2 linked regions of the Danio rerio genome follow. The protein of the gene in region 1 interacts with the protein of each later gene in a pairwise test. Links are inferred from orthologs where the notes say so. Each region holds a gene or a part of one and is shown on either strand. Other genes may lie near its edges. The genes, in order: sh3gl2a and egfl6.

What was found.
Region 2: the proteins of sh3gl2a (region 1) and egfl6 interact in a two-hybrid assay, tested with the Homo sapiens proteins (2 studies listed by BioGRID and IntAct). The link is inferred for Danio rerio from reciprocal best matches to the Homo sapiens genes SH3GL2 and EGFL6.

Annotation. Positions count from the first base shown.
Region 1 is NC_133176.1:28,370,967-28,387,589, reverse strand, and holds the end of sh3gl2a (SH3 domain containing GRB2 like 2a, endophilin A1), read left to right. Parts: intron 1-7,416; coding exon 7,417-7,535; intron 7,536-7,636; coding exon 7,637-7,833; 3' UTR 7,834-8,461; downstream 8,462-16,623. UniProt on the Homo sapiens protein: Implicated in synaptic vesicle endocytosis. May recruit other proteins to membranes with high curvature. Required for BDNF-dependent dendrite outgrowth.
Region 2 is NC_133184.1:56,886,738-56,903,951, forward strand, and holds part of egfl6 (epidermal growth factor-like protein 6 isoform 1 precursor), read left to right. Parts: intron 1-1,191; exon of another isoform or gene 1,192-1,196; coding exon 1,197-1,303; intron 1,304-3,927; coding exon 3,928-4,020; intron 4,021-6,473; coding exon 6,474-6,593; intron 6,594-8,213; coding exon 8,214-8,333; exon of another isoform or gene 8,334-8,608; intron 8,609-10,012; exon of another isoform or gene 10,013-10,223; coding exon of another isoform or gene 10,224-10,515; coding exon 10,516-10,650; intron 10,651-14,003; coding exon 14,004-14,126; intron 14,127-14,452; coding exon 14,453-14,515; intron 14,516-16,957; coding exon 16,958-17,203; intron 17,204-17,214.

The sequences.
Region 1 (16,623 bases):
TATTAAAAAACATCAAATTTTAGAGCACTAATCACAACTGTAAAAAACTGTGATAATTTTATCCAAGGTTATCATGCCATCAGAAACCGGCCCATGCCAACCATCAAGTTGTTCCAACCCTTTAGAACTTTCTTTCTTTCTTCTGCTGACAAAAAAAGAACTTTCCAGAAGCATGCTGTAAGAGAAATAAGAAACGTTTTTAAGATTTGGAACAAGTAAAGGGGGAGTAAATAATGATGGAATTTCCACATTTTGGGTGAATTATCCACTTGAGCAAAAAATGATTTATGATCATTTGCTAGCAGTCAGTTTTGTGTTTGTGCCCCTCAAAACTCTTGAAGCCAATTAGCACTCATTCCAAGTCTTCTGAATATAATTAAAATAATATTCAGTAGTTTTCCAGTGCTGGGTTCCAGCTGGGAGGGCATTCGCTACATAAAGCATATGCTGGATAAGTTGGAGGTTCAATCCACTGTGGCAACCCCTGATAAATAAAGGGACTATGCTAAAGGAAAATGAATGCACGAATGAAAGAATAATTTATTTTCTTTTTGGCTTAGTCTCTTTATTAATCTGTGGTTGCCACAGCGGAATGAACCACCAACTTATCCAGCATTTGTTTCACGCAGCGGATGCCCTTTCAGCTGCAACCCATCACTGGGAAACACCCATACACTCTCATTCACACACATACACTATGGACAGTTTAGTTTACCCAATTTACTTATAGTGCATGTGTTTGGACTTGTGGGGGACACCAGAGCACTCTGAGGAAACCCACGCAAACACTGAGAGAACATGCAAACTCCACACAGAAATGCCAACTAACACAGCCGAGGCTCGAACAGCGACATTCTTGCTGTGAGGCGAAATTGCTACCCACTGCCTCACCACACCGCCTGAATGAATAATATTCAAAAAAATGAATAGTCAATACCTGCTCGCTCTATTATGCATATTTCTTATACAGGGGGGAACGGAAGTGCTATGTGGAAACTTCCACTATGGGGTTTTCGTCAGAAACCAATCATCTGAAACAGTAAAAAATCGCCAGCTGTGGGCCAGTGCTCATATCAGCTGAACAGACTCGGGGTGGAGTCGACATTCTCCCGGGGCAAGGAGCTGCCATGAGAGCCCATCGGCTGCACGGTTGAGCTCGCCGAGAATGTGAACAGCAGGCAGTGACTTCAGCTGCGTATGACTTCAGATGCGTATGTTTCGCCAACTGTATCGCAGAGCCGAGTCTGATCGTACAGATGAGCCATTGCAATGGGCTGGTCCACGGTGAGGCAGCGTGGAGTGGGTGGGCTCGCCTAGCACAGGGGTCCCATGGGATAGAGAGAGACTTGCTCTCGTCTCGCACTCAAATTCCGGATGGAGGGGTTGAAAGAGGGAGAGAAAGGAGACCGTTCTCTCGCCCTCTGTGAGCCATTGGCAAAATGCACCGATCCTGCATAAGTCCCAGACTGGCAGTGTTCGGGCTGTTACATCCATGGAAGGGGAAAAATGCTTTTTCTTTGAGGATTTGATGGCTTTTTTTTATTTTATTTTTTGTCCGTTAAGTGAAGAGCCCCGCCCTCCAGCGGGGAAAGAGCAAATTCCCTCCTCTCCAGATGGCCTGTCTCAGGGATGCTTCGCGGTTCATTTACCAAACTTGGGGCTGGGGGGCTGGTTGCCTGCGAGCCGCTTGGCCTGAGGCATAGGCGGGGTGGTTGAGAAAAAAGCTATAGGCGAGCGCCCTCAGCGAAAAGCAGTGGATGTGGATGGCTCGGTGGGAGGGAGTAGTCTTACGATCCCGCCGATAGATTATATACCCATCGCTTCTGACTGCTCCTTCACCGGTGTGAATTCCTGGTCGAGATCCCCGACGGTGTCACCAAACAGGCCAGCCTGGGATATGGGTGAGTTAAGAGAGCAAACTTTGTCAACATCACACACATCACCAGGTTTAGCCTGAGGTGGCGTTCCTGGCCATTAATGTGACCATCGTCCTTCCCAGGGTGCGGCACTCATCCCCTGTCCTGGGTCGCAACCATCCTCGCGCAGCTGGGCCAGCGCCTGCGCTTGGTTGCACTGGTAGGTGGCAATAGTGTGCAAGGTGAGGGTGAAGGCGCACGCAGCACATTGTGTAAGCCTACTGTGTGCATCCCGGAAGAAGGGTTTCCACACCCCTCTAGTCGGTCTGGCCGCGGGGCTGGGGAATAAACCATCTCCAAAGCCACAGCCGAAACAGCCTGGGGAAGCACGGCTACAAAGTCTGCATCTAGATTTGACACCGCGCTCATCAACCCGGAAGGAGAAGCGGACTCAAATCCTCATCAGATATTGACAACCCACCCTCCAGGGATGGTGAGGATGGAAGCGCATGCAGATCGGCCAGAAAAAAAGTGCCCTCAAAACTGCGTGAGCTTACTGTGCATTTCCGGGAAGAAAGGGACGGAAAGCTTTGAAGGTCTTTCCTCCTTATATCCTCCACATAACACCCATCTAGTCGGTCCGGCCGCAGGGCTGGAAGATAAACCATCACCAGGCCAACGGCCTAAGCAGCTTGGGAAAGCATGGCCATCATATCTGCTTTTTAGATACCAACGCTGTGCTCTCCAACCCGGAGGGAGGGAGCGAGCGGGTTCGCATCCTCATCAGACAATGACAGCCCATCCTCAGATGCAGCGATGGACATATGATCCTCAGTGTCATCAAGTGAGAGAGCGACCATCTGAAGACAGGGCACTTCTCTTCACCTGAAGCTTGGATGGAGCGCGTGGAGGAGCGAGAGGTCTGCAGCCTGAAGGAGGCGAATTTACTCCCACTGTAATCCTCAGATCTGCCAACCGCAGTGTGGGGGGAAACTGGGGTGGGCCTCTCTTTTGCAAGATCTTAACTGTGCAACATACATGACATCACAGTGACGGCATGCACTGCCCGCGAGCACTACATTAACATGCTGGACCCCCAGACATGAAACGCTATGCTTTGCCCATCATCCGGGGATAGGAAACCACCGCATCCAGAAACGCACGGTCGGAGCGATGTCTTGAAAAAGACGTGCTGCAAAACCGTGCTGCTCTTTTAGAAAAGCTTTTTTCCTATACACAAACCACTCTTGGAGGACCGGACCCAAAGAACGCCAGGCAAGGGAGAGAAACCCAGCTCGACTGTCTGCCACTGCGTATACACGCTCTGGACCGGGAGGAGCTGCTTCTCGATCTCTCCTGTAGACACAGGATGGAGATAACCTCAAAGACTCTCTCAGAAGCTTGTGAAATGCTCTGAAAGCAAAAAAAGGATGTCCAGCATTGCACTAGCCGCGTCTTTATATTATGACTGATTGTCATTAACGCCAGCTGTGCAGGCTGACGCCGCCAACTGGCATTTCATTGGCCTGATTTTTTATTTATTTATTTTTTTTTTTACTCTTTCAGATGATTGGTTTCTGACAAAAACTTCATAGTGGAAGTTTCCACATAGCATTGAAGTTCCCCATTCGAAGGGGAAAGTGTTGTTACTTTGCTGCAGTTGATTTTTCTTCTTTTTAGCTCAATACCAAGATGCAATTTAACAATAAAGCAGCTCTACAAACAGCAATGGTTTAGTTTTACAGACTTTTAAATAAGTCTATGTAAGCAACTTTCATGAATATGACTCCAAAACATATTACTGGTCTGCATTATTTTCAGTTTAGACCTCTAAAACAAGCAGTATAGTCTAAGACTATCCCTAATCTTTGTCTGAAAACCCAGAGGGAATGATGCCCTCACCTTGCTTCATTTAGTTCAAGCAGCTTATCTCATAAATTATATATTCAGCAACTGACTGCTAATGCTCTAACATTCACCTTTATCTTTGTTTTATAAAATCTCGAAGTCACTTTGGAAAATGTAATCAAATGTATTTTTTTAACATTGGGTAACGGAATTATCAATCACACATCAACCTCTTTTGCTGAGAAAATCTGAGAATCCTGGCATTTTTGTATGACACGGGAGGAGTTTTTTTTACCCCGCCTGCACTTGACTCTTGCGGCTGTGTTGCATCACATCAGTGTCACATTTTGAGAATGTTGAGTGAAGTTAAAAGTAGTTCCTATTGTATAGCAACAGGGAATGATTTGACTGTAAAATACCCAAAATCTTACTTTGCATTTAGCTTTAATCAGTAATTTTTTTATGTATTTTAGTGACATTTACAAAATAAATATGAAAGCGCTTACAGTAAAATGGAAATATTACCTTTAACACTCAAATGAAGATATTCCTAGTGAAATTTACCCAAAGCTCAGACCATTTAAAACCAGTGTTGGGGTCATGTGAGTTACATTATAATATTACTTTTCTAAGTAACGAGTAAAGTAACAAAATAAAAAGTGATAATATTTGAGTTAATACTTTGAAAATGTAATGCAAGTTACTTTTTAGTTTAATTATTATTATTTTCTTTATAAATTCCTAAATTAAAATGAAAGTAGTCACAATGAATCACAGTCAATGAAAGAATGTTTTTAATATTTTGAACACATGGAAGAAAAAGAAAATGGGATTGTCTCAATGCTAGGGATGTAACGGTATCAGAATTTCACGGTACGGTAATACCTCGGTATGAATGTCACGGTACGGTATTTATTGAATCATTTACAGGAAAAAACAAAACTTGTGAAAATACTCCAAAAAAGTGCCAAAAGTGTCAATGACATACAAATTAGCCATCTATCTGTAAGCTTTGAAACAGGAACTTCAATTTTAAAAACAAAAAATTATTAAACCATGTAAAAAAATAAAGTTTCAATTTAGTATTGTTGAAAACTCATCACATTCAACATTTAACCACACTCAGCCCATCTACCCAGATGAGAGCTCTGCTAGTCGGACTTCTCATCAAGCATCTCCCGCTGGATCTAATCTCACTATATTTATTAAACGTGATATTTCATTCATCTTGTTGTCTTTATCTAACGACATATTCCCTGACTTTGGGCATTGGAATCTATTACTTGTTCTCAGGTAACGTGTTTTGGCTGAGCGCAAAGATAAGTTAATGATTAATGGAAGCTCGTCCATTCTGTATATTGACTGATCACTTGCCTTTATTTCCTATAATGTATAAACTTATTGTATGTTATACTTTTAAAATGGCCATTATCGATTCTTAAAACTGATACTCAGCAAAAGAGAGGCTGTGTTTCGTATTTTCACTGAAATTGAAAGGAGGAAGTGTTGTTATCGGCTCCGTTTTGTTATAAATATGCACACAGTGAAGATGACGCTCATCTTATGCAGCACGACGCCTCAACATGTCTGCTGTCTAAGTTGCTAATATTAAAATGAAAATAGGCAGTTCCTTAAATCATGTTTACATTTTATTGTTGAGAAAGTGAAACAACGAAGCCAGGGTGATGTGAATGAAGTTATAAAGTACACTGTTCCCTTTGAAGATTTACCCGTGTCCTCGGTATAATCTGCTTTTCCATATCAAACTGAGACGAAGAGACTGCAGCCTTGATCAAACTTGCGAAGTGTGAACTTACACGGAGATAATGCAGGACTGAACTGTGCGTGTTAGGCTACTTAATATTCAGGAAAAGCCCCAATCAGAGAGGCGAATGTCTGCAGCCCCGCTTCCGTTTTCAGATGTACATGACAGTTTATAAGTATCACACACCAGACGCGCTCATTCGAATGATATTTAACATGAATCTAATCAGATGGCGCTCTGTGGCGCGGCTGAAAAATGAACTGCGTCCTGAGCCGTCGCCGGGCGCCGCCGACTTGCGGCGCCGGTGTGTGTATCCTGATAGAAACCTATGTTTAGAATTCTAAAATACATGGCGCTGCGTGGCACTGCGCGGCGCGCCGCCGAGCGCCGCTTCTGGTGTGCGACCTGCTTTAGAGTTTTCCAGCTCTTTTCATCCCCGCTTCTAGCAGCACACTCCATTTCCGCATTACTGGATCTGTAGCGACAACAGACCGCAAGGGATGATGGTCAAGCATGGGCTGATGGCAATTGTAGTTTTCGCTACCTCCCGTTCGCTTCATTCGCCTGAGCAAATTTTCTCAGAAGACCTATAGTTTTACCGAGTCATGCGACTTCGGTAATATTGAAAAAAAATAATATTGCGGTATGACGGTATTTACAATACCGTTACATCCCTACTCAATGCACAGTGATTTTACCTAAGACAAATAGTGCAAGTATCAAACACATTGCTTTAAACTTACAGAAATCTGTTTATACACCATGTAGAGTTCTGAGAAGTTCTCAGATATCATTATCCTAAAATATTTGTTTTAATGTTTTTTTTTTTTTAAGTTTTATAAACTAATTTTGAGAGGAGCAGGTGATATGATGGATCACGGCTGGCTTCTCATCCGTAATCAGTAATAATTCAATCAGATTGATAGTAATGCAGCTAGTGACTTGGTAGTCCATAGTCTACAGAACAAACCATCGTTATACAATAACCTTAAATAATTACCCTAACCTTCCTAGTTAACCTAATTAACCTAGTTAAGTCTTAAAATGTCACTTTAAGCTGTACAGAAGTGTCTTGAAAAATATCTAGTAAAATATTATTTACTGTCATCATGGCAAATATAAAATAAATCAGTTATTAGAAAATGAGTAATTATAACTATTATGTTTAGAAATGTGTTGGAAAACATTTCTCTCCATTAAACAGAAATTGGGGAAAAAAATAAACAGGGGTCTAATAATTCAGGGGGGCTAATAATTCTGACTTCAACTGTATATATTAAAGTTAACTAAATCCTTTTATTAATCCAAAATTCTTAAATGCAAGAAATTTTGATTCAGTTACTAATCACTGTTTAACTTGTTAAATGATGTAATCCACTAACATAGTTTAACAAAAACAAAGTTGACATTTTCCACCATTTTGTGCTTTAGTTCACGATTCAAACCTCCAACCAGACATTGCATTATGTCTAATCTATTATTTCATGTGTTGTCATCATTTTTGTTTTTGTTCAAAAGGTGAATGGACAACTGACTGAAATTTCACAACAGACTTGACAAATAGTTAATCTACTATTGGTCTATTACATTTTGTATTTCATTTTGTAATTGATGACAGAAAAAAAAATGTTGTGCCTTAGTGCCTTCAAGCGTTTCCTGCCAGAGTAATTGAAATCACTTGGAGCAAGTCACATGCTTTCTTTATCAGTGCTTTACAGATTGTTCTGCCTTTTTATAAACGATGTAACAGAGTTAGCCAAAATGTAGGGACAGACACAAAATGTATTTTGATTTATTGAATTTACAATGATACAAAAAATATTTTTCATGCAAATGTTTAAATTGTTTTAAAATGTTCTCCCAATTCTAGAATTATAATATTATTAAATAAATAATTAAATGTGTTTCACTAAATTATGAGAACTTCTCCTTCTCTTCTTTTCACAGAATAAGAGAGGCATCTTGTAAGCCAAAAAGAGAGTATGTGCCCAAACCTCGCACCTCTTTGGATTTCAGTGAGAATCACAATGGGAGTATTGGCCACAGTGGTCCTTCTCGGTCACCAGGTAAAGTAATACTATTAATAATTTGAATTTATAAACCTGAGGGTTTTTTTTGTGTGTGTGTGTGTGTGTTTATGCTAAAGAATGTATCTCGTTTGTTTCAGCTCCAATGGACCAGCCTTGCTGTCGGGCACTTTATGATTTTGACCCAGAAAATGAGGGTGAGCTTGGCTTCAAGGAAGGTGACATCATCACCCTAACCAGCAAGATTGACGACAACTGGTATGAAGGAATGGTGAACGGGCAATCTGGCTTCTTCCCCGTCAACTACGTGGATATCCTGGTAGCTTTGCCTCATTAAGTTTCCTGCATGCACCTAACCGTGACCTGACCAATCAAACCAGTTCTTCAACGAGAGCAAAAGTCACCAAAACAAACAGCACAAAATGCTCTGTTATGGTTATTTGCGCATAGAAAATAAGCAGTTATGAGTGCCCTTTCACAAAATACTGTTCCTGACTGGGAATGCCACTATTTTGTTGTATTATTAATTTATTCAATGTATTTTATCTTCTCTTTTTTGAGGTTGATCAGACCTCTGCATTGCCTGCTGCTATGCCTCCTGTATGTTCAGACGTTGTGTGTGTTTTATTCTTTTTTGCCTGTTCCTATTCGCAACAGCAAATCATGATTGGTCTCTTTATCACACCGTTTGAAAAAAGAAAATGTGTAAAATAAAATGTCTCTCATTTATTTTGGTATTATCTAGCGTAATGTATAAGTGAATGATGATGGCAGACAAACATTGAGAGTTGTTTCCTTTCTTCATTACTTTGAAATTGCAATAACTACACAACCAATATCCGTTCACACCTTTAATGGTCATAGAGTGAAATGTTCCACTGTTCGTTTAATGTCCTGCAACTGGTTTTAGCCTTTAAGTGGTGTTAGATTTGACTATTTAAATAGATAAATATTTATCAACAAAGAAAAAAAAAAAAAAAAAAACAAAGATGAGGAAAGTTCTGTGACTCATTTATTTGTTGTGTTACAGTGTATTTTCAGTCACGTAAGATTCTGTATGGCCTATAAATAGCATGGGCCTTTTTCAGCTTTCCATATCACATTCCATAGATGTTAAGCTGGTCACCTAAACACAACCCAAGAACCATTTTATGAAACATTGTATGCGTGTGTACATATATATGAATATAATAATGCCTGAGTGTGGTGATTTCTGAACCCATGAAACTGTGCTTATATTTATTTTATGTTTTTCTTTTCTTGCTTTAGTAATGAAGTGTGTAATTTTTGCGCAAATAAATACAAATGTAAAAGAAATGACGACCATTTTCCACACTCCACCATATGCCATTGAGCCAATAGTGTTTACAGTCAGATCAACAAATAAGAGAAAGTATTTCAGCATTGCAAGAGTTACACACATCATCCCCTTGTTAAATATGAATAAATTTCCGATTGTAAATGATATATAAATATAATGATGTAATATGGTCTAAAAATTCACATACAGATCAATATACATTCTTAAAAAGGTTTAATGTATTATTAAATTTTCCTTTATATATATATATAAGCATAGATTGTATTGACAGGACATTCCAATCTTTTCTGAATTGTGTCATTCTCCTCAATGAGGTCTGTACAGACATTCTTGCGTTTTATTTCCTGTTTGTGTATAGTCATATAACTATAGTACCATGTGTTATTTTTGGATCAGTGTTAAAGATTTATCATTAGATAGAAATCAGGCACTGGAGTGAAACGTGCTGGGGGAGTGTTTATTCGTGAAGCGCTACATATCAACTCCTCTTTAGCATGAATTTTTCAGTGGCTCATCTGAATGAAGCTTGTGCTGAGAACGAAAAAAAAAATGTGCAACTACAATAAATACAACCGTTGAATGATGCATGTGGAGTGTGTGTATTTTGTTTCATAACCAGTAGGGGATGCTGCCACAACACAAACTGAATATTCTGTGTGAAGCTGAAATATCTGTGCATATCAGGCACAGTTTATGTGTGGGTATAATATTATACATTTGGACCCGTTTTATATTGTATACAATATATTTATATTTATATATGTATGTATATATATATATATATATATATATATATATATATATATATATATATATATATATATATATATATATATATATTATATACACACACACACACACACAGTTGAAGTCAGAATTATTAGTGCCCCTGTTTATTTTTTTCCCCAATTTCTATTTAATGGAGGGAAGATTGTTTCAGCACATTTCTAAGCTTAATAGTTTTAAAAACTTCTTTCTAAAAACTGATTTATTTTATCTTTGCCATGATGACAGTAAATAACATTTTACTTCATATTTTTCAAGACACTTCTATACAGCTAAATGTTAAATGTTTAACTAGGCTAATTAGGTTAACTAGGCAGGTTAGGGTAATTAGGCAAGTTATTGTATAACGATGGTTTGCCCTGTAAATTATCGTTAAAAAAAATAGCTTAAAGGGGCTAATAATTTTGTCCCAAAAATGTTTTTTTTTTTAAATAATAACTGCTTTTATTCTATCCGAAATAAAACAAACAAAAAAAAAATTTATTTTTTGGTTTGGTTTGAGCCTTGGCTGGGTCCGGCTTCCCCTACAGTCTAAAGACATGTGGTACAGGTGAATTGAGTATGCTAAAATTGACCGTAGTGTGTGAATGAGTGTATGGAGGTTTTTTATTTACCCATGAAACCCATCAAAATTACCCAGTGATGGGTTGTGGCTTTAAGGGCATCATTTGTTGGCGGTTCATTCTGCTGTGGCGACCCTAGATTAATAAAGGGACTAAGCCGAAAAGAAAATGAATGAAACTATTTCCCAGGTGCTGTTTCCCAGTTTTATTAACTAATTTCTAATAACTAATTTATTTTGTCTTTGCCATGATGACCAAGCGAATATACAGCTTGCTATTAAAAAGCTCAACTGTAATTAGGTGAAGGTTTTTATTATTGTTGTTGTTGTTGTTATTATTGCTTTAATTCCAGCTCAACTAAAAGAAATACGGCTTTTTTCCAGAAGAAAATTTCCTTGTTGTAAACATCACTTGGTAAATGTTTCACAAGGCTAATTATTTTGCCTTTAACTATATGTACATATCAGTCAAAACAACTAATATTATACAAATTGGACCTTGGAAACATCTAATCATTTTTAAATATTATCAGTAAAGTTTGTTTGAAAGCTAGAGATCAGAGATCAAAATGACACTTGAAAAGTAATTGTACTTACTAAGAAATGCTATATTTCATTCTGAAAGAGCAGTTTGAATTAATGATGAGTTTCTTACTGGAAGGAAAAAAAAAGTCATTTAACTACCAGTAATCAAAAGTTATGTTCAGACCAAACATAATCAAAATATTTGTAATAAGCGTGCAAGTTTAAATAAACCATTAAGGTAAAGGTTTTTTAAACATTGGCATTTTTGAACATTACAGTGGCAATACTTTTAAAACAAACATCGTTCAGTCCTTAATGGATAGTGTGAAATGTTTGTTTAATCTCCTAAAACAAATTTAGTATCTCCTGTATGCTTCACGTCAAGCTTTCTTTTTCGAAATTTCAGCATGCTAAGACAAAAAATATATAATATTATTAAATAAATACATTATAAAGTAATAGTGCGTATTCACAGTACTGTGCAAACTCTTTTAGTGTAGTGTATCAGCAGGAAATATCACTTTACATTTCCAATTTTTTTTCTATTAATTGTAATAATCCAGAGAGGTTTTTGATTGCAGAGGGAGTTTGACAGCAAATAGTGCTCCACACTGAGTCCGTCTCATCCAGTCTGACTGGAAAACAATTTAAACACAAATGATGGTTACACCAAATATTGATTTCATTTAGTTAATACAAACTAATTTATATAAATGGATGCATTTAAAAAAAAAAAAAAGAAAAAGCATCGCATTTTTAAACAATTTATTGGACTGCTGTCAGACATTTTCTGCAAACAAAAATCTCACTGGATTGTTGCATTCAAGAGCAAAATGATGTAAACTGATATTTCCTACTGACACACTACTGCAAAAGATAAAAATGTTAATACATCTGAACAGTATTAAATATGTTAGTAAAATTTGGATTTGTACTGTATTATTAGTTATTGAATAACTTTTTTCAAATGTACATATTTGTTTTATTTTATCAAATTTTAATAACATTTCTTTCAAATAAAAAAATGTAACTTAGAGCTGCACTTTTGGTGAGAAAGTGTTCATTTGTTGTGATTAAACTTCAGTATTGTTTAAAAATTGTGACTTCCAAATTCTTCTTAAAACAAACAAACAAAAAAAGTATTGTGTAGCCAAAAAAATAAATAAACAAAACAAATATAAACATGCTTTGGAGGAAACATATTTTAACATATTTAAAAAATGTTTTAATCAAACAGATAACCATAAATTGTAAATTGTAAACAGGGTATTTTTCCATGTGTCCTACAATTGTATTTATAGAGTGATATAAATATTACAATTACATGGGTTCTCACTTTTACTTGTCTAGTAGCCATAGCAGCAATGATGTATGAGCTACAAAAGCAAATTCTTGGCTACAAAACTCTATCAGTTATAACAACAGATTTTGTTAAGTTCATCAGTGAAATATTTTACCACCAACCCCAAGCAAATATAATTGTTTTATATTGTTGTTGTCTACATAGATCAGGGGTGTCCAAACTCAGTCCTGGAGGTACGGTCTAAAAACTTTCTCGCAGATTTTTAGCAAGTTAGAGCTAAACTCTCAAGACAACAGACCTCTATGACTAAGTTTGGCCACCCCTGATCTATAGATCTTGGAAGAGAAAGACTAAAATGACAAAAATGTTTGGGTTTGACCTAACCAGGGCTCATGAAACCAGCACACACAAATAGTGTTCAGTTGTTGATACTAGAGCATATTTAATTCAGCTTTTATAATGCTACATTTTACCCCTGTGGAAACATTTCACCTATCTCAGCATGTCTGAATTGTAACATTTCACTTCTCCTGTTTGAAACTAAACTATGCATTTTCTGTTTGTGCGCAGCAAATATAACATACAGTTAAAGTCAAAATTATTTTTCTTTTTCAAATGTTTCCCAAACGTGTTTAACAAAGCAAGGAATTTTTTCACAGTATTTCCTGTATTGTTTTTTCTTCTGGAGAAAGTCTTGTTTGTTTTTTTTTAGGTAGAATAAAAGCCATTTCAAATAGTTTTTAAAACCATTTTAAGGCCAATGTTATTAGCAATAACTTAAAAAATACCAATTCTTAAGCAATATATATTTTTTAGATTGTCTACAGAAAATAACTATCCTTTTAGATTTGCCTAATTACCCGAAACCTACCAATTAACATATAGTTAAGCCTTTCAATTACACTTTAAGCTGATTAGTCTTTTGAAAAATATCTAATGACATATTATGTATATACTGTAATCATGGCAAAGATAAAACAAATACAAAAAAACAAATCAGTTATTAGAAATTATTCATTCATTCATTTTCTTGTCGGCTTAGTCCCTTTATTAATCTGGGGTCGCCACAGCGGAATGAACCGCCAACTTATCCAGCAAGTTTTTACGCTGCGGATGCCCTTCCAGTCGCAACCCATCTCTGGGAAACATCCACACACTACGGACAATTTAGCCTACCCAATTCACCTGTACCGAATGTCTTTGGGGGAAACCAGAGCACCCGGAGAAAACCCACGCGAACGCAGGGAGAACATGCAAACTCCACACAGAAACACCAACTGAGTCGAGAATCGAACCAGCGACCTTCTTGCTGTGAGGCAAACGTGCTACTCACTGCGCCACTGAGTCGCCTATTAGAAACTAGTTATTAAAAAAAATATTATGTTTAGAAATGTGTTTAAAAAGTATTCTTTCCATTTAATAGAAATTGGAGAGAAAAAAAATATACAGTGGTCTATTAGTTCAAAAGTTTTTGTTTTAGTAGCAGTATTTAGTTTGAATCACATTTTGCATTTTTTTTTAATCTCAACAAGAAAAAAGTTCCCCCATATGCATAAAAAATGAACGAACCCATAAACAAAAACTTTTTGGTTTGATTCCATTTTTGGAACCCCTGGATTTTCCTAAATTAATAGCAGTGAGCAAAAGCTTTGAGCCGATGCTTCTCTACCCCTCAACCTGCGTGTTTGTGTTCCGCCCAGACACTGGCACGCCAGCGATGTGTCACTTCATCCTACAACTGTACTTACAGTCAGCGAGGCATATCACATCCACCCAAGCTCTGCTCCACCCCACTCGCTCTCACGCGCCACAGTGTCAACATTTACCCTGTTCCCAGACTCACTGCGTGTCGGCAAACACACCGAAGACTAACAGTGCGCGTTGCACACACTGTGACTGAAAGTACATATTTATACATTTGCTTGAATTTTATGTTGTGTATTCGGCCTCTAATGTATCTCTGTGTGTTTGTTTGTCTAAGGGATGATGTACAGTCAATCACTATCCCGAAATAAACCCTGACAGGATGATCAATGCCAAAACATTTAGGTCTTGTATGGTTTGCAGAAAAAAAATATTCAGCTTTCATGTTTCTGTGTTTTGCTGTATGGATATGGTCAGTGCAGTACTACTGACCTATAGTGTGCATTACTTAGTCTATCATGAGGAAGGAAGGAAGCAGTTTTTTTATTTATTTTTTTTATATGTCCTCAGGCAGTTTCACTTTAAAACCTAATACTATTATAATATTATAACACCATAATAATTCCATAAATTATTTTGGTAACACTTTGTAGTGAAGTCTTATTCGTTATAAGCTGTTCATTCATTCATTCATTCATTCATTCATTCATTCATTCATTCATTCATTCATTCATTCATTCATTTTCTTTTCGGCTTAGTTCCTTTAGTAATTTGGAGTCACAGCAGTGGAATGAACCGCCAACTTATCGAGCATATGTTTTACGCAGCGGATGCCATTCCAGCTGCAACCCATCTCTGGAAAACATCCATATACACTCATTCACATTCATACACTACAAACAATTTAGCCTACCCAATTCACCTATAGCGCATGTCTTTGGACTGTGGGGGAAACTGAAGCAGTTTAGTTAATAATGCAATACTTAATTTAGTAATGAAAAATAAATCATTTTCTAAGTATGAAAATACAATTATTAAGCACATTATAAATGTGGTTATAAGTCAAGAATAGAGCATTTGTAGCTGCAGTTATAAACTGCTTACTAACGTTTATTAATGTAAAGTTAATGCTTAATGGATAATGAATTCACTATTTGCTAATGCTTAATAAATGATTTATAGTGTGTAGTTACTATAAAGTGTTACCGCGTCTAAAACACATCAGCAAACATGTCAGAAATGCTAATTGGTTTCATGTTAATTGACTACCTTGATGTCAAAATAGCACTTTTTTTTCCTATCTTGATAGCAAAATAGCCTTTTGTCAAAACACACGTAAAAAATCAATTACAGGTCAGTTATGAGTTTTCTGATGCCAATGTTACGTCATTTTTGATGTCGTTTTGACATCAAGGAAGTTCTACATGCATTGTGGGGATACAAAATTCAGTTTAAATTTGTAATTTGTAATTTAATTTTCTTATATAATACTTTTGTTATTTGGTGGTCAAAAGGTCATCAATGTAAGTCAAATAAACATCAGGCATTTTGACATCAAACCGATTTGCCTTTTTTTTTCTTTTTGCATTATTTTTGATGTCGTTTTGATATCAAGGTGCCCGCAGGAAAATCTCTTCTGGACACTTCAAAAAACTTCCAAAGAGTTAAACAGGTCATCAGATTGCATCTCTAATGACTGCAATTAAGACTTTTTCTAAATGTCAGAAATATTTGATGCAGTCTCTGGACGATGCCGAGGATTGGCAGAGTGTGCTAGCCTGTGTTCTTACATGTTTAACTTGCTGGTGTTCTCACATACTTTCTCTTTTGAGCAGCAGGCTGAGCTCTCATCACCAGGCAAGGGCTGATAATTCCTTGTCTTTCAGCTCCCCTCAAAAGAGCTTGTGATTGGAGATGACAAATGAGGCGGTAAGACAGGTCAGACTGCAACAAGCTCAGGTGTGCTAACATGACTGTTAGAGCGTCACGAATGCGCATCGCCAACAATAGTTCGTTTGAAAGCCATATTTCTAAATAAATCTTTTAATATAGATCCTTTTAGATTTCAATTGTTTTTTAAGAATTAGAATAAAAATTGGAAATGCATTTCTGATTTAGCAAAATTGTCCCCTATAACAAGATGTACTCTATTCTCTGTCTGAATAAATAAGCTAAATACTTCTATCTGACAACCATAAAGAGTGCAAAGCAAGAGTTAAATTGGGAGAGAGCAAAACAGCAAGCTAAGGGTGAAGGCCAGAAGTGGCAGTAAGAATGTGTGTGTGGGTGGAAGACTGAGAGACCTCACTGAATATTGTGTCTGCTAAAGTGTACCTGTCTGCTCCACTGCTCGCAAAGTGGGCTTGGAGCCTGTTTAATGAGCAAATGTCCAAACCTGTGTCATGTCTCCAGTCAATCAGGATTTGTGCAGGAATTTAGATAAGGTCTGAAGGTAAACAGTGCACAGAATCTTTTCCCAGTATTCCACAACAATAATCTATGAATATAATTTTCTATGGGTAAAAAGTAACACAAATTTAGAATGATTGCAATTTCACATCAGTATTATTATTATTTTTATTTTTTATTTTTTTTGGTCCCTAGCAATTGTGCACAACAATTCATTAAACAATAAGTAAATTTTGCATTATATTTGACATGCAATAAATATAAATTATCAAATTCCACCTCCCTTTCCATTTAAAATCCAGTTGCTCTTAAGGCATAATAGGTTCATTATATGCATAGTGGAATTTGGAAATATAAAGAAGAAAATCTTCTCTAGAGTAGATTTGTTCAGAAAAAGTCTGTGCACTATTTACACACTTAGCTTCATGTATGTTTGTGTGCTGCTGCATGTAGCTGTGTGTGTAATAAGCAAAGAACTAATGCCCTCATTAAATAACAAAAAATAAGTAAAATCTGGCATAAATAGCATTCAAAAATAGAATTATTTTGTCCCAAATCATAGCATGTTGAAATGAGT
Region 2 (17,214 bases), on another chromosome or scaffold:
CTATGCTTGTTGGCAAATTCAATCCAACATACCAGCACAGATCTTTAAAAAACTAAATCTTACCTTTGAAATGTTCTGCCTTTTTACTTGGTATTATTTGTTTGCTCATTACTACACCTGTACGCAGCGCAAAAGTCCAGCATCTTCAGACTGGCATTAGTCTTGAATGCTGATGAGTTTTGTCATGGAAGCCCTGTACCAATATGGTGGCGGTATTGATGCATGCTCAGGGCCTGTATGAGATATCTAATGTACATATTTATGATATCCCTACTATGAATTTACCACCCTGATGTCAAAACTACATCAAGATAATATCGAACATTGGCATCAAAAATCAATTAGATGACAGTCATTTCATGTATGTTTTAGGTATTGTTTTGAAGCTAATGTTTGATCTCAGTTTGTTTTAGCTTCGACATTAAGGAAATCAACAAAAAAATAAATCAACATATGTCATTAGGCATATTTGTTGTGTTTTATTGATGTTTATGATGTTGTTTTGATGACAAGGGCTGCCTTTTAGTCTAATTTTATTTATGTCCTTTACTCGCTAGCTTTGCTGAGCACTGCATGTATATAAAAGACATGTATTTTTACACAAGACATACATGTGATTTGCGTATATTGCCATATATCATATTTCTCTATGGATGGTGTGAAGTGTTCATTGGCTATTTTATATATATAAACCTGTGCTTGCTCTCAGCGACACACTAAACCCTCAGCGCTGTCTTAAAGAAGCTCCTGCTGAAGTGTGATGGCCATGAATAGTACGAGGTGTAATTATAGCAGAAATGTGCTGCGGGAGATTTTATTGGTTCCTGTAAGAGTGTCTGTTAAACACTTAAAGAGCCGTAAAGCAACTGCAGTTAACCCCAAAGGGTCAAAGGTCACCGTAAGGACTACGTTTACCTTCTAATTATGCCTCATTTTTCACCTGAAACAACCTGAGATCTATTTCTCTGTTCACACACACAATTAAAATGCAGACAGACAAACACACACTCACACACAAGCACATGCATGGACAGCCATGCATACACAAACACGCACACATACAAACACATGACACAAAAAGTGAAGCATGGTCTACATCTTAATATTAGTATTTATTTATATTTCATCTAAATGCATTACTATAAATCCCCCATCGGTGTGTTAAACTGAGGGTGTCCTTATTGTTTCCCCCACAGACAGCGGCGGCAGATCTCCGTCATGAGTGGGCTGGGTGTGTGTCGATACGGCAGCCGGTTGGAGTGCTGCTACGGCTGGAAGAAAAACACTAAAGGACAATGTGAAGGTGATTTAGCAGATAAAAGCAGATCTACAATAAGATTGCTATTACATTTAGTGAATCTCCTTTTTCTGTGTGTGTGTATATATATATATATTCAGATTCCCTTAAATTTTTGACTCTTTGTTATATTGCCGCTGTTTGCTAATTATTTTAGTTAATTATTTTGTACACACAGCAGCCCATACTGACAGAAAAACACTGAATTGTTGACAAATGAAAGTTTAAATCAAGCACAGTTAACCCAGATAGCATATGAATGTGGGCCACTTTAGGCAGTCATGCAGCACTGGTGGTATTCATTCAGTGAGCCTGAACCCACAAAGCAAAATTTCTCTGGCCCAGCTCTGGCCCACACAATCAGGTTTTGCTTGGCCCACATGCTGCAGTGAATTACGGTACATGACTGGACCAAATCTGGCTTCCAGACAAGGGCCAAACACGGACCATATCTGGGCCAAGTCTCAGCCAAGTTAATAACTCATAACTGGGCCTGAACTGGGCCAGATAGGTTGGTGTGTCACGGTTGCAATGAAATTGATAAACCTATGGAGTGATGCGCTTTAGGCACACTATGGGCACGCTTTTTCTCAAAGTGACCTGATTGGTAGATTTTTTTTTTTTCTTTACTCAAAAATTATTTTGGTGTATTTTAAATGTGGGTCAAGACTAGCCAAACTCACATGGCCCACTTATCAAATTTTTAAATCTGCGCCAAATACTACGTTTTTCATCTGGCCCAAATCTTGTGTGCCGCCTTAAAGACGGTGCCACCTCTGCCAAACCCGGGCCATGTTTGGCCCACATGCTGTATGTCAGTGGTGGATGAATGCCTGCTGTGCCAGCTTTTTGCCAAATCTGGGCCAGAATTCTTTGCTACTAGGGAAGTGGCCCCCATGTACAATAGCAAATAAATGGGCCATTTAAGGCAACAATTTGGCACTTATGGCATAATGTAATCTGAATCTAAGCCATCATTGCCAATCAACTGCCATCATTCCAATCAGCATGTGGTCCAGTCCAGATGTAAGTGTCTGTTGTGGGCCGGATCTGGGACAGAAAAAAAGCAAACTGTGGCCCAGAATAGGGTCAGATCTGGTTCATTTGGTTGAATTCTGGCCAATACGTGGTACTGCTTTGGCTTATTGGTGGGCCAGATCTGACAAACAGGAACAGACCGCTCTAGAGCCATCATTTCATTCAGTATGTGGTCCAGATGTAAGTGTATGGTGTGGGCCAGATCTGGGACAGAATAAAAGCAAACTGTGGCCCAGAATAGGGTCAGTTCTGATTAATTTGGTTAAATTCTGGCTGATATGAGGTATTGATATGGCTTGATTGTGGCCCAGATCTGGCAAACAGGAGCGGACCGCCCAAGTGCCATTATTCCATGCGGTATGTGGCCCGGATGTAAGTGTCTGGTGCGGGCCGGATCTGGGCCAGAACAAAAGCAAACTGTGGCCCAGAATAGGGTCAGTTCAGGTTCATTTGGTTGAATTCTGGCCAATATGTGGTACTGCTTTGGCTTATTGGTGGCCCAGATCTGACAAACAGGAGCGGACCAGCCTAGAGCCATCATTCTATTCAGTATGTGGTCCAGATGTAAGTGTATGACGTGGGCCGGATCTGGACCAGAACAAAAGCAAACTGTGGCCCAGAATAGGGTCAGTTCTGGTTCATTTGGTTGAAATCTGGCCAATACAAGGTACTGCTTTGGCTTATTGGTGGCCCAGATCTGACAAACAGGAGCGGACCGCTCTAGTGCCATCATTCCATGCGGTATGTGGCCCGGATGTAAGTGTCTGGTGCGGGCCGGATCAGGGACAGAATAAAAGCAAACTGTGGCCCAGAATAGGGTCAGTTCAGGTTCATTTGGCTGAATTCTGGCCAATATGTGGTACTGCTTTGGCTTATTGGTGGCCCAGATCTGACAAACAGGAGCAGACTGCTCTAGATCCATCATTCTATTAAGTATGTGGTCCAGATGTAAGTGTCTGGTGTGGGCCGGATCTGGGACAGAATAAAAGCAAACTGTGGCCCAGAATAGGGTCAGTTCTGGTTAATTTGGTTAAATTCTGGCTGATATGAGGTATTGGTATGGCTTGATTGTGGCACAGATCTGGCAAAAAGGAGCGGATCGCCCAAGTGCCACCATTCCATGTAGTTTGTGGGCCGGATGTAAGTGTCTGGTGCGGGCTGGATTTGAGCCACATGAATTTTGCTAGCTGGGAACCTACACTACATACTACTTTTCATTTCGTTTTACACTTGAACAACTAAATAAATGCTGAAGTCTGTTTAACTGATTGCATTTTAATTACAGTACAACATCGACGCTTTGAAAGAAACCTTATCAAATTGAAGATATTCACATTATCCGTTCACCAGAAGTTTATCACTAGGGGAAAAACACTAGCTGTGAATATACCCTATTTTCATTCAAAACATGGAAACACTGGGCTTTACTTTCCATCCACAAACTTTTCTGATACACATTGCTTGTTCTGCGGTCTGAGCTCTGAGGGGGATTGTGGGACATGAGCTGCCGTTGTTTTCCAGACGTGTGTGGTTTTGTGAACAGATTTGACCTCCGCTGTTTTCTTCATTAATATTTCGGCATGTTTTTCCAGCTCAGTGTGATCTGGGCTGCAAACACGGCGAGTGTGTCGGCCCCAACAAATGCAAGTGTTTTCCTGGATACACTGGAAAGACCTGCAGCCAAGGTTTGTGTGTCTCAACTGTTTATTTATTTACAATATACGCTATTAGACACTGCACTGTAAAACATATGGGTTGATGAACAGATTCTGTATTTAGTGATGCACAAGTGTTTATTTAGGAGGTGTCACAGTGCTCATTCAGTAAAGGCACAGCTAAACAGATGTGTTTCAGTCTGGATGTGAATGTGCCTAATGTTGGAGCACATCTGATCATTTATGGAAGCTGACTCCAGTGGCAATATTAGCACAGTAACATCCTATTCACAAGGGGCTTCAGCATCAACGCTTGACAGAGGGCGTGTCTGAAGTTGGGGCTGATGCGATCGTCATAGCAGCGTCAGCCAATGAAATTTGTCAGCAATAGGCCACTGTCTAATCTGGTGTATTTGCATAAAGCGATCTGATTGGCTGAAGCTTCCGTCGGCGCTTGAAAAGTTAAGCTAGTCCCAACTTCTGCAGCGAGCAACGCCACTGAAGCGGCGCTGATGGATCCACAATGCAGTTCGGCAACGCCTGACGTCACCCATTTAAAGAGAATGGAAAGCGTTGACGCTGACGCCCCGTGTGAATGGTAAGGTCTGACTTTGCTTAGACAAAAGTGTCATCACTGAACAGAAATAATGTCCAGTATAGAATATAAAGTCCTGCTGCAGTGGAGACAGAATGAATATTGTGTCTGACTCCATCATGAGCTTGGAGGACTGCATCCATACATCTCTGACAGACTCACATCACTGATTAATAAAGTCATCTGGAATGGCAAAGATAACGGCAAAGATGGCAAAGATAGATGAATGGCTCAACCTTCATCTTACCCCAGACATGCTCAATAATGTTCATGTCTGGTGACTGGGTTGGCCAATCCTAAAGTACATGGTCTTCTTTGCTTTCAGGAGCTTTGATTAAAAAATTGACTAAGCCGGATAGAAAATGAATGAATGAATGAATGAACGAACGTACAAACGAACGAACGAATGAATAAATGAATGAACGAACGAATGAATGAATGAATACTATGGAAGTCAATGGCTACCAGTTTCCAACATTCTTCAAAATATCTTTTTTTCCATGTTCAACAAAAGAATCAGGTTTGTGAATGCTCAAAAACTTTGGGTGATCTATCATTTTAATGCCTTTTAATCTGTTCTGTATGTCTATAAACACTGTAAAAATATTTGTAAATGATCAAAAATCAAAATGATACTTTGAATAAAAACATGAATCACGAAACACGGAAAACTGATCATTTACAAATATTTTTTACAGTGTTTATGGACATACAGGACAGGTTAAAAGGCATTAAAGTGGTAGTTCACCCAATTTATTTTTTTATTTACTCACCATTCACAAACCTGATTCTTTCTTCTGTTGAACACGGGAGAAGATATTTTGAAGAATGTTGCAAACTGGTAGCCATTGACTTCCATAGTATTCATTCATTTATTTTCTATCCGGCTTAGTCGCTTTTTTTAATCAGGGGTCACCACAGCGGAATGAACCACCAACTATTCCAGCATATGTTTTACGCAGCGGATGCCCTTCCAGCTGCAACCCATCACTGGGAAACACCCATACACACTCATTCACTATGCACAAATTAGATTACCCAATTCCTCTATTGCGCATGTGTTTGGATGTGGGGGAAACCAGAGCACCCGAAAGAAACCCACACCAACACGGGGAGAACATGCAAACTCCACACAGAAATGCCAACTGACCCAGCTGAGACTCGAACCAGCAACCTTCTTGCTGTGAGCCGACAGCACTACCTACTGCGCCACAGTGCAGCCGACATTTACTACCATAGTAATAATTCATTCATTTTCTTTTCGGCTTAGTCCCTTTATTAATCCAGCGTCGCCACAGCGGAATGAACCACCAACTTATCCAGGATATGTTTTGCGCAGCGGATGCCCTTCCAGCTGCAACCTGGTACTGGGAAACACCCAGACACACTCATTCACACACTCATACACTACGGCCAATTTAGTTAATCAATTCCCCTATAGCGCATGTGTTTGGGCTGTGGGGGAAACCGGAGCACCCAGAGGAAACCCACACCAACACGGGGAGAACATGCAAACTCCACACAGAAATGACAACTGACCAAGCAGGCACTCGAACCAGCAACCTTCTTGCTGTGCGGCCAAAGTGCTAACCACTAAGCTACCTTGCTGCCATCAAATAAAAAGCTATTATACAGACATAGTTAACCTGCATTATAGCGATGTCTATGAGTACATGCTTATTAAAGTGTTTGTGTGTTGTGATTTGAGAAACGGGATGTAATGATAATGTGTAATAATAAAGAAACGCTACGCTCTGTTAAACATGGAGAGATCATTTTTGCAAAATGTCTGTGACTGAAATGTACATTTGTTAATTGTGTATTTTAAATGTTATAAAACACGGAAGGATTTTAAAATACACTCTCTCTCACTCTCTCTCTCCTTCAGATCTGAATGAGTGTGGTCTGAAGCCTCGTCCCTGTGAGCATCGCTGTATGAACACATTCGGCAGCTATATGTGCTACTGCTTAAACGGCTACATGCTAATGCCTGATGGATCCTGTGCAAGTGAGTGACCACGATATATCCAGAGAAATGTTCACTTATTCATTCATTTTCGGTTTAGTCCCTTTATTAATCCGGGGTCGCCACAGCAGGATGAACCTCCAACTTATCCAGCACGTTTTTTACGAGCGGATGCCCTTTCAGCCGCAACCCATCTCTGGGAAACAGAGGAATGTTTACATACACAATATATCGTTTCAGCATGGATATTACAATGTGTGCATCCGCAATAGTCACATCTCAGGATCTGCAATGTTGAATAGCCATTATAGTTGACCAGGAGCCACAGTTCAGAAACATGAGATCTGTAAAAACATGAGATAAAGGAGCAAATCTTTGTCATTTGCAAGTGTTTTTAAGGCCTGTGACTGCATACTGAGAGAGTTTAAAGCATCCAGGCACAAGGAATAATGATATTTGTAACTTTAATCTAAAATATTTTATCAACTTATTCACACAACGAAGATTATGCAGTGCTATTTCCAACCCAGGCTCATTCTGAAAACGTAGTCCCATGGACATATCTGGAGGCCGCGAAATACGTCCCGGGAGGTATGTATTTGTGCAGTTTTGTTGCGCGAATTTGGGGCCGCTGTGTGTGCTTTTTCACATCTCCAACATCTCTCGCGAGTGCCGTTCATGCCCGCGCTGTTCTCGCATAAACCCATCGTAAGCCGCTGTCAGGTGACTGTCTGTCCGACTGACTAAATGATTGACTGGGCGACAGGCCAATCGGCCGACCCACCCTCCTCCTCCTTCTTCCCTAAACCCAACCGGTTTTACCGATTGACCCGCCCGCCCGATTGCTTCCCTAAACCCAAGCAACGATTTACAAAAGCCGTCCAGAAAAAGAAAAGCCCTCGTCTGATTTTTACCACGTTTTCGGATTTCACCACATTCTCACCCTGTTATGAACTTGTTCACTTTATCTTTTGGATTCTGTCCAAAAAAGTCTTTCTTCGAAATCTTACCTGATTTCTGGAACCGCTCTTCCCTGGACTCGAACCCGGTCATCGTTGTTAGCTCCTCTCTACATCTCAAGTCCACCGACGTACACGACGAGCTAACTTGACAAACTTGTAGAGGTGGGAAAGCCTTCCACACGGAGGTAAGCAGTCAGCCGGCGAGCGCGAAAAGGACACATACCGCCCCGTAGTGTTTGCTTAATCCAGGGGTGACCAATCTCAGTCCTGGAGGGCCGGTGTCCCTGCAGGGTTTAGCTCCAACTTGCCTCAACACACCTGCCTGGATGTTTCAAGTATACCTAATAAGACCTTGATTAGTTTGGTGACCACTGGCCTAATCAAATGAAATGCAGCCATACATACCTCCGGCTACATAAATCACGGCCTCCAGAAACGTCCGCGGGACTACTTTTTCAGAATGAGCTTGGGTTGGTTGTGTCACATCTGTTTATTTAAATTCTGCACCTGAATTCTTACCATATAGAGCTATTTAGGCCATGTGTTGAAATTGTATTGCATTGTTTTGAATTGAAACTGTACAGCCCTAATGAGCTGTTACACTGTGTGTGTCTGTCTGTCTGTCTGTCTATCTGTCTGTCTGTCTGTCTGTCTGTCTGTCTGTCTGTCTGTCTGTCTGCCTGTCTGTCTGTCATTGCAGACTCCAGGACGTGCTCTCTGGCTCACTGTCAGTACGGCTGTGAGGAGGTGCAGTCTGAGGTTCGCTGTCTCTGTCCATCCCCTGGCCTTCAGCTCGGGTCTGATGGAAAGACCTGCGAGGGTGAGAACTGAAATGAAAACATTCATTCATTCATTCATTGATCTCCTTCAGCTTAGTCCAAGGGTGTCCAAACTCGGTCCTGAAGGTCCGGTGTCCTTTATCTTTTAGCTTCAACCCCAATTAAACACACCTGAACCAGCTAATCAAGCTCTTTCTAGGTATACTAGAAACTTCCAGGGAGGTGTGTTGAAGGAGGTTGGAGCTAAACTATGCAGGACACGGGCCCTCCTGGACCGAGTTTGGACACCCCTAGCTTAGTCCCTTTATTCATCAGGGCCCAGTTTTTCAAAAGTAATCCACTAGGATTTTGGATAAGGGATTGGATCAAATCTTGAAAATGGGTTTTTCAAAAGAAAAAACGGATTACGTAATCGGATTAGATCACATAATCCAATCTTTGTTTTGATCCGGATCAAACCTTTAGTTTGGGTTTTTCAGACCTTTTTTGTAGGATTTGGATCACTTTGATCCAAAAAACCTGGATTAAACTGATCCCATCAGAAGGGTGGATTTAGCGTGGATTTCATGCCCAAAATGTGATGAAAACTTCAAAAAATTATTAAATAAAACTACATTTGGATCATGCAGTATCTTACGAGATATACAATTTATTCATAAGGTTTTAATTTTATTTGTTCATCTGTCAGGCTATAGTGATTATAGGCTTTAACGTATTCAGCCTTTCAGTATAGGCCTACAGCAAAGTAGAAAGAGTTTGGCCTCATAAAATAATCCCCCAAACAGCTGTCAAAATTTACCAAAAACAATACATTTTATTATGTTACTAATTGATATATAGTCCAAGGAATATATATATATATATATATATATATATATATATATATATATATATATATATATATATATATATATATATATATATACATATATATAGATACACACACACACACACATATTCATCACAATGGAAAATATTTTTGTGTTTAGAATATTTATTAGTGATGCATGCAATGATTAGAGAATAACAAAAAAAATGCAAAGAATGGCAATGCCTGATTTTTGAAATCACTTTGAACAATTGCAAAAAGAGACTGAAAGGGCAGAAGTTCAGCTTTATCTGGCAGAGGAACAACTGACTCTGACCAAACTGCAGCAAACCAAGACCACACTTGAGATCTGCCTCCTAAAGAATACGCTCAGACAAGCTGCTCCCTCCACATCAGATGAGGAAGTCTGACATTATTGTGGAGGTTTCAACATTGTCTTTTTTTATTCAATACATCTATATTTGAAACTTATTATAAATATCCTCAATGTACAGTGTTGTAGGTCTCAGATGAGCGGACTGCTGGAAGAGGATGGAGTGGGGTTTTTCTTGCTTTTATTATTTATTATTATAATTATTTTATTGTTTATAAAATGTTCTTAGTTTTCATTTCAAATAAAAATAAAGTTATATTGACCCCACACTGGCTATTCTACTTGTTGCTCTTTACATAGGCCTATCTATCCATCTACATTGTGATTGAGCACTGGTAATCCAGATTTAGTGGTCCTAAAAAGTTCCTATCCGGATCAGATTGATCCAATCCAATGTTGCTTTGAAAAACTGGCTCAAAAAGTAAACTGGATTACGTGATCACGAATCGCAAAAACAGGATTACTAAATCCGTATCAATTTTATCCGGATTAAACCTTTTAAAAAAAAACGGGCCCAGAGGCACAGTGGAATGAGCGCACATATGAGCGCAAATGCATTTGCTATTTAAACAGCGTGGCGGAAAACATCAAAACGACTCTTGCGCCAAGCTGAAACTAGCAAACAACTATTGCGTTGTGCCTTGCGCCACATTGTGCCAAGTGTATGATAGGGCACTCTTTCACACACACACTAATACACTACGGCCAATTTAGTTAATCAATTTCCCTATGGCACATGTGTTTGGACTGTGGGGGAAACCGGAGCACCAGGAGGAAACCCATGGCAACACTGGGAGAACATGCAAACTCCACACAGAATCGCCAACTTACCCAGCTGAAACTCGAATCAGCAACCTTCTTGCTGTGAGGCCACAGTGCAAACCACTGAGCCACAGTGCCTCCCAGCTAGTAAACAAGAACAAAAAAAACTCTGAACTCATTGGTCATATCAAGCTCTGTGATCTAATAACAGTGAATGTTCTCCATGCACTCTTCTTGTTGTCCTCTTTCTCTTTCGCAGACATTGATGAATGTGCGACTGGGAAAAACCAGTGTCCGTTTAACCGGCAGTGCACAAACACATTCGGCAGCTACTACTGCAAGTGTCAGCCAGGATACGACCTCAAATACATCAATGGAAAATACGACTGCGTTGGTGAGAAGAATGCAACTGTGTGTACAACCTGCTGTAATGACCGACTATACACTATTATAAAAACAACTGTCCACCTTAGATTGAGCTAGTACGAGTTATTAAAGATGATGTGTGCTTTTGTCAAAGAAAGTCATCATAAAAATGGCCAAATTACTGGTAAAGAAGTAAACTACCCTAAAAATATCCATTAATGAAGTAATGAGTCTTGCATTTAGTGTTGATGCTAAAGAATCAGTGTAAAAAACATTCAATTCAAGTTTATTTGTATAACGCTTTTCACAATTAGTCTTCCGTGTCCCTGTGCTATTTAAAATGTATTTGTTTTATTTTGGGACTCTTCTAGAATAGTTTTATGTGTATTCAAGATCAAAATCACTTTAATTTAGAAGTGTACAGTCTCTGAAATGTTTGGTTCAACGATCTGGTTGCTCTAAACCCGCCTTCTTAGGAAGCATACTCTGCTCTGATTGGTCAGGTGGTACTTGTCTACTCTGATTGATCAGATGGCACCAGTTTACTCTGATTGCTTAGATGAGACTAGTCTGCTCTGATTGGTCAGCTGACAATCAGCTGTTCTGATTTGGTCAGATATCTTAAGTATCTTCTGATTGGTCAGATATCACAAGTTTCCTCTGATTGGTCAGATGAGACTAGTCTGTTCTGATTAGCCAGATGACACTAGGCTGTTCTGATTAGTCAGATATCCCAAGTCTACTCTGATTGGTAAGATGAGACTAGCCTGCTCTGATTGGTCAGATGACACTAGTTTGCTATGATTGGTCAGATGGCACTAGTCAACTTTAATTGCTCAGATAAAACTCTGATCTGATTGGCCAGATAGCACTATTCTGTTCTAATTGGCCAGATGACACTAAGCTGTTTTGATTGGTCAGATGAGACTAATCTATTCTGATTGGTCAGATGACAATAGTCTTTTCTAATTGGTCAGATATTACAAGTCTACTCTGATTATTCAGATGGCAGTAGTCAACTCTGATTGGTCAGATGACACGAGTCTGTTCTGATTGGTCAGATAGCACAAGTATTTTCTGAATGGTCAGATGACAATAGTCAGCTCTGATTGGTCAGATGACAATAGTTTGCTCTGATTGGTCAGATGACAATAATCTGCTCTGATTGGTCAGATGACATTATTCTGCTCTGATTGGGCAGATGACAGTAGTCTTTTCTAATTGGTCAGATATTACAAGTCTACTCTGATTGGTCAGATGGTACAAGTCTGCTCTGACTGGCCAGATGAGACTAGTGTGCTCTGATTGGTCAGATGGTACTAGTCAACACTGATTGGTCAGATGAGACGAGTCTGTTCGTATTCGTCAGATAGCACAAATATTTTCTGATTGGTCAGATGACAATAGTCTGCTCTAATTGGTCAGATGACAATAGTCTGCTCTAATTGGGCAGATGACACTAGTTTTTCTAATTAGTCAGATGACATTATTCTGCTCTGATTGGTCAGATGACAGTAGTCTTTTCTAATTGGTCAGATATTACAAGTCTACTCTGATTGGTCAGATGGCACAAGTCTGCTCTGACTGGCCAGATGAGACTAGTGTGCTCTGATTGGTCAGATGGCACTAGTCAACTCTGATTGGTCAGATGAGACGAGTCTGTTCTGATTGGTCAGATAGCACAAGTATTTTCTGATTGGTCAGATGACAATAGTCTGCTCTGATTGGTCAGATGACAATAGTTTGCTCTGATTGGTCAGATGACAATAGTCTGCTCTAATTGGGCAGATGACACTAGTTTTTCTAATTAGTCAGATGACACTATTCTGCTCTGATTGGTCGGATGACAGTAGTCTTTTCTAATTGGTCAGATATTACAAGTCTACTCTGATTGGTCAGATAGCACAAGTATTTTCTGAATGGTCAGATGACAATAGTCTGTTCTGATTGGTCAGATGACAATAGTTTGCTCTGATTGGTCAGATGACAATAGTCTGCTCTGATTGGGCAGATGACACTAGTTTTTCTAATTAGTCAGATGACATTATTCTGCTCTGATTGGTCAGATGACAGTAGTCTTTTCTAATTGGTCAGATATTACAAGTCTACTCTGATTGGTCAGATGGCACAAGTCTGCTCTGACTGGCCAGATGAGACTAGTGTGCTCTGATTGGTCAGATGGCACTAGTCAACTCTGATTGGTCAGATGAGACGAGTCTGTTCTTATTGGTCAGATAGCACAAGTATTTTCTGATTGGTCAGATGACAATAGTCTGCTCTGATTGGTCAGATGACAATAGTTTGCTCTGATTGGTCAGATGACAATAGTCTGCTCTGATTGGGCAGATGACACTAGTTTTTCTAATTAGTCAGATGACATTATTCTGCTATGATTGGTCAGATGACAGTAGTCTTTTCTAATTGGTCAGATATTACAAGTCTACTCTGATTGGTCAGATGGCACAAGTCTGCTCTGACTGGCCAGATGAGACTAGTGTGCTCTGATCTGTCAGATGGCACTAGTCAACTCTGATTGGTCAGATGAGACGAGTCTGCTCTAATTGGTCAGATAGCACAAGTATTTTCTGAATGGTCAGATGACAATAGTCTGCTCTGATTGGTCAGATGACAATAGTTTGCTCTGATTGGTCAGATGACAATAGTCTGCTCTGATTGGTCAGATGACAATAGTCTGCTCTGATTGGGCAGATGACAGTAGTTGAATTGAATTGAATTGAATTGAATTGAATTGAATTGAATTGAATTGAATCTGAATTGAATTGAATTGAATCTGAATTGAATTGAATTGAGTCTGTTCTGATTGGTCAGATAGCACAAGTATTTTCTGAATGGTCAGATGACATTAGTTTTTCTAATTAGTCAGATGACATTATTCTGCTCTGATTGGTCAGATGACAGTAGTCTTTTCTAATTGGTCAGATATTACAAGTCAACTCTGATTGGTCAGATGAGACGAGTCTGTTCTGATTGGTCAGATAGCACAAGTATTTTCTGAATAGTCAGATGACACTAGTTTTTCTAATTAGTCAGATGACATTATTCTGCTCTGATTGGTCAGATGACAGTAGTCTTTTCTATATAGATATCTATATCTATATTGATGCAGAGTTATCAAATTATAGAGATATCACAAGTCTGCTAGATAGATTTTATATTTCAGTTTGTTGTGATTGGCTGAAACCCAACCCTCATGTAAATCTCAGCTCCTCTTGAACACTTATAAACACAGTGATGCATCTGTGATGACAGCTTTGGCTTTACTGTATCAGGTCCAGCACTAGTTCTCCAGTGTTTTATTAGTGCATGCAGAGTTTGTTCAGTTGATGTGAAATGCAATAATGCGAGTGTGTGTGTTTGCAGATGTAAATGAGTGCACGTCGAACACACACAAGTGCAGTCATCACGCTGAATGCATCAACACTCTTGGGTCCTACAAGTGTAAATGCAAGCAGGGCTTCCGTGGCAGCGGATTCGATTGTTCAGGTGAGAAATGACAGCATTAATGAAACAGCGAAAATTAAACTACACTTTTAAAATATCCATAAATGAGCAGTTTTCCATATTTTGTGATTTATGTTTTAATTTTTAATTTTTTCCTCCTTTATTTATGCTTTTGAATTGCATCATGGGACCCAACACTGGGTTACAACAACCCAGCATTTCGTGTGTGTTTAATTAAATAAATACAGCATCGCTGAGCATTTTTTAAACATGCTGAAACAAACAGTACAATTTCCAAACTTGTGTGGATGTTTTAGGAGAAATGTTGTAGATATAATTTGTGAACCGAATGCTTTGTGTTTGTGTAGTCAAGCCATTTTATCACAGATCCTGGGACAGCAGTAAAGGAAACACAGATGTGCTTGTGAACGGTGAGAAAGACGCAGTTTAACGGCTGAATGAGCTGATGGAAATACATCTGATATTGTAAAACATCAGCATTAGATGAACATCAGCTCCTGCGAGAGGGGTCTGGCTGCAGACCTAGTGCAGTGCAATCTGAGCTGCATCCAATGCTTTTTAATGCGCTCACCTAACCCCGCCCCTAACCCTACCCGTCACAGTGACGTCACTCACTCCATTGAGTGCATTGTGTCTGACATTGCATCGCTAAGTGATGCAATCTCAGCTTGCACCATAAAGGCTGCATCCAGATACTATTGGCTCCTGCGCTCTGCTGGATGCTTTGCAGATACATTTAGAAACACTCTAATAAGCTTTGCAGATGTTAATGCATTATCTGGACCATGCCGCTGGGAAAACAAATGAAAGATGAAAGTTGTCATGCAGCTTGGTTATAATGATTGTGAATGGCTTGTCATGCAGTGCACATGCAGTCATGGCAGATGTAAAGCATGCCTGATTAATGCAATAATGCTGATATTGTGCATTTTTCACAATGGCTTTAAAGCAGTCAATATTTAACCTGATGTATTTTTTAAATTAGCTTTATTTTTAGATTGTCCGTTCAATAATATACATATATATATATATATATATATATATATATATATATATATATATATATATATATATATATATATATATATATATATATATATATATATATATATATATATATATTGTTGACTTTTAAATTGTCATTACATTTACTTAAAAAAAATCGTAATTAGCTGATTTTTATTTCAGGTATAGTTTTGGTCATGTTTAGTCATGATAATGTACTTTAAAAATCCAGATAGATTTTTTATTAGCTATGTATTTATCAGATGTGTTGTTACTTATTTTTTATCATACATTTGGTTTATTTTGTATGTGCAATTAATAGATATTATTACATTTAAACATGTTATTATTATTTTTATTAGCAGTAGTCGTAGTTAACATTTAGTTTAATACATGCAATTAATATCCATTATTAAATTTAAACATGTTATAATAATAATAATAATAATAATAATTATTATTATTATTATTATTATTATTATTATTATTATTATTATCATACATTTGGTTTATTTTGTATGTGCAGTTAATATGTTACGCAGCGAATGCCCTTCCAGCTGAAACCTATCACTGGGAAACATCCATACACACTATTAATATCTATTATTAAATTTAAGTATGTTATTATTATTATTATCATTATTATTATTATTATTATTATTATTATATTAGTAGTAATAGTAGTAGTGGTATTAAGTATTTAATTTATTTTGTGCAATTAATACCTATTATTAAATTTAAATATGTTATTATTATTATTATTATTATTATTATTATTATTATTATTATTATTATTATTATTATTATTATTATTATCATACATTTGGTTTATTTTGTATGTGCAGTTATTATGTTACGCAGTGAATGCCCTTCCAGCTGAAACCTCTCACTGGGAAACATCCATACACACTATTAATATCTATTATTAAATTTAAATATGTTATTATCATTATTAATTATTATTATTATTATTATTATTATTATTATTATTATTATTATTATTTGTATTATATTAGTAGTAATAGTAGTAGTGGTATTAAGCATTTAGTTTATTTTGTGCAATTAATATCTATTATAAAATTTAAATATGTTATTATTATTATTATTATTATTATTATTATTATACATTTGGTTTATTCTGTATATGAAATTACTATCTATAATTATATTCAAATATATAATTTATAATTTTTTTGTCGGCTTAGCCCCTTTATTAATCTGGGGTCGCCACAGTGGGATGAACCGCCAACTTATCCAGCATATGTTTTATGCAGCGGATGCCCTTCCAGCTGCAACCCATTACTGGGAAACACCCATACACAATCATTCTACACTACGGACAATTTAGCCTACCCAATTCACCTGGACTGCATGAACATGCAAACTCCACACAGAAACGCCAACTGATCCAGCTGAGGCTCAAAACAGCCACCTTCTTGCTTTGAGGCGACAGCACTACCTAGAGCTCATTGCGTCGCCTAATATTACATTTAAATATGTTAGTATTATTATTATATTAGTAGTAGTAGTAGTAATAGTAGTAGTAAGCAGTTAGTTTATTGTGTGCAATAAATAGCTATTATTAAATTTAAATATGTTATTATTATACATTTGGTTTATTCTGTATATAAAATTACTATCTACAGTTATATTTAACTATATATTATTTTACACTCCATTTTAATTTTAGTTATATTTTTACTATTTATATTTTTAAATATCATTAAATATTTTTTTACTATATAAATGCTATTCAAATAAGCATTTTTGTCTTTTTGTATATTGAATGCATGACTCAGCATTAACAAACAAGATTTCCACTGACAGATTTCTGTTTGATTCTGCAGCGATTCCCGATTTTCCGTCCAAAACCCGGATTTTGGGTAAATTTGAGAACAGCATCCCAGAGCCTGTGCTGACTGAATCTCCTCGACAGCATCTGCAACCCTTCGATTATGATGGAGAGGTTTACATCGGCGCTCCACAGGAAACACCAGTGTTTCCTGAGGAAGAAGAAGTGGAAGAGGAAGAGGAAGAGGACACAGAGAACCAGCTGGAGGATGAAGAGCTGACCAGCAGAGGAGACGTGTTTTGTGAGTGACTT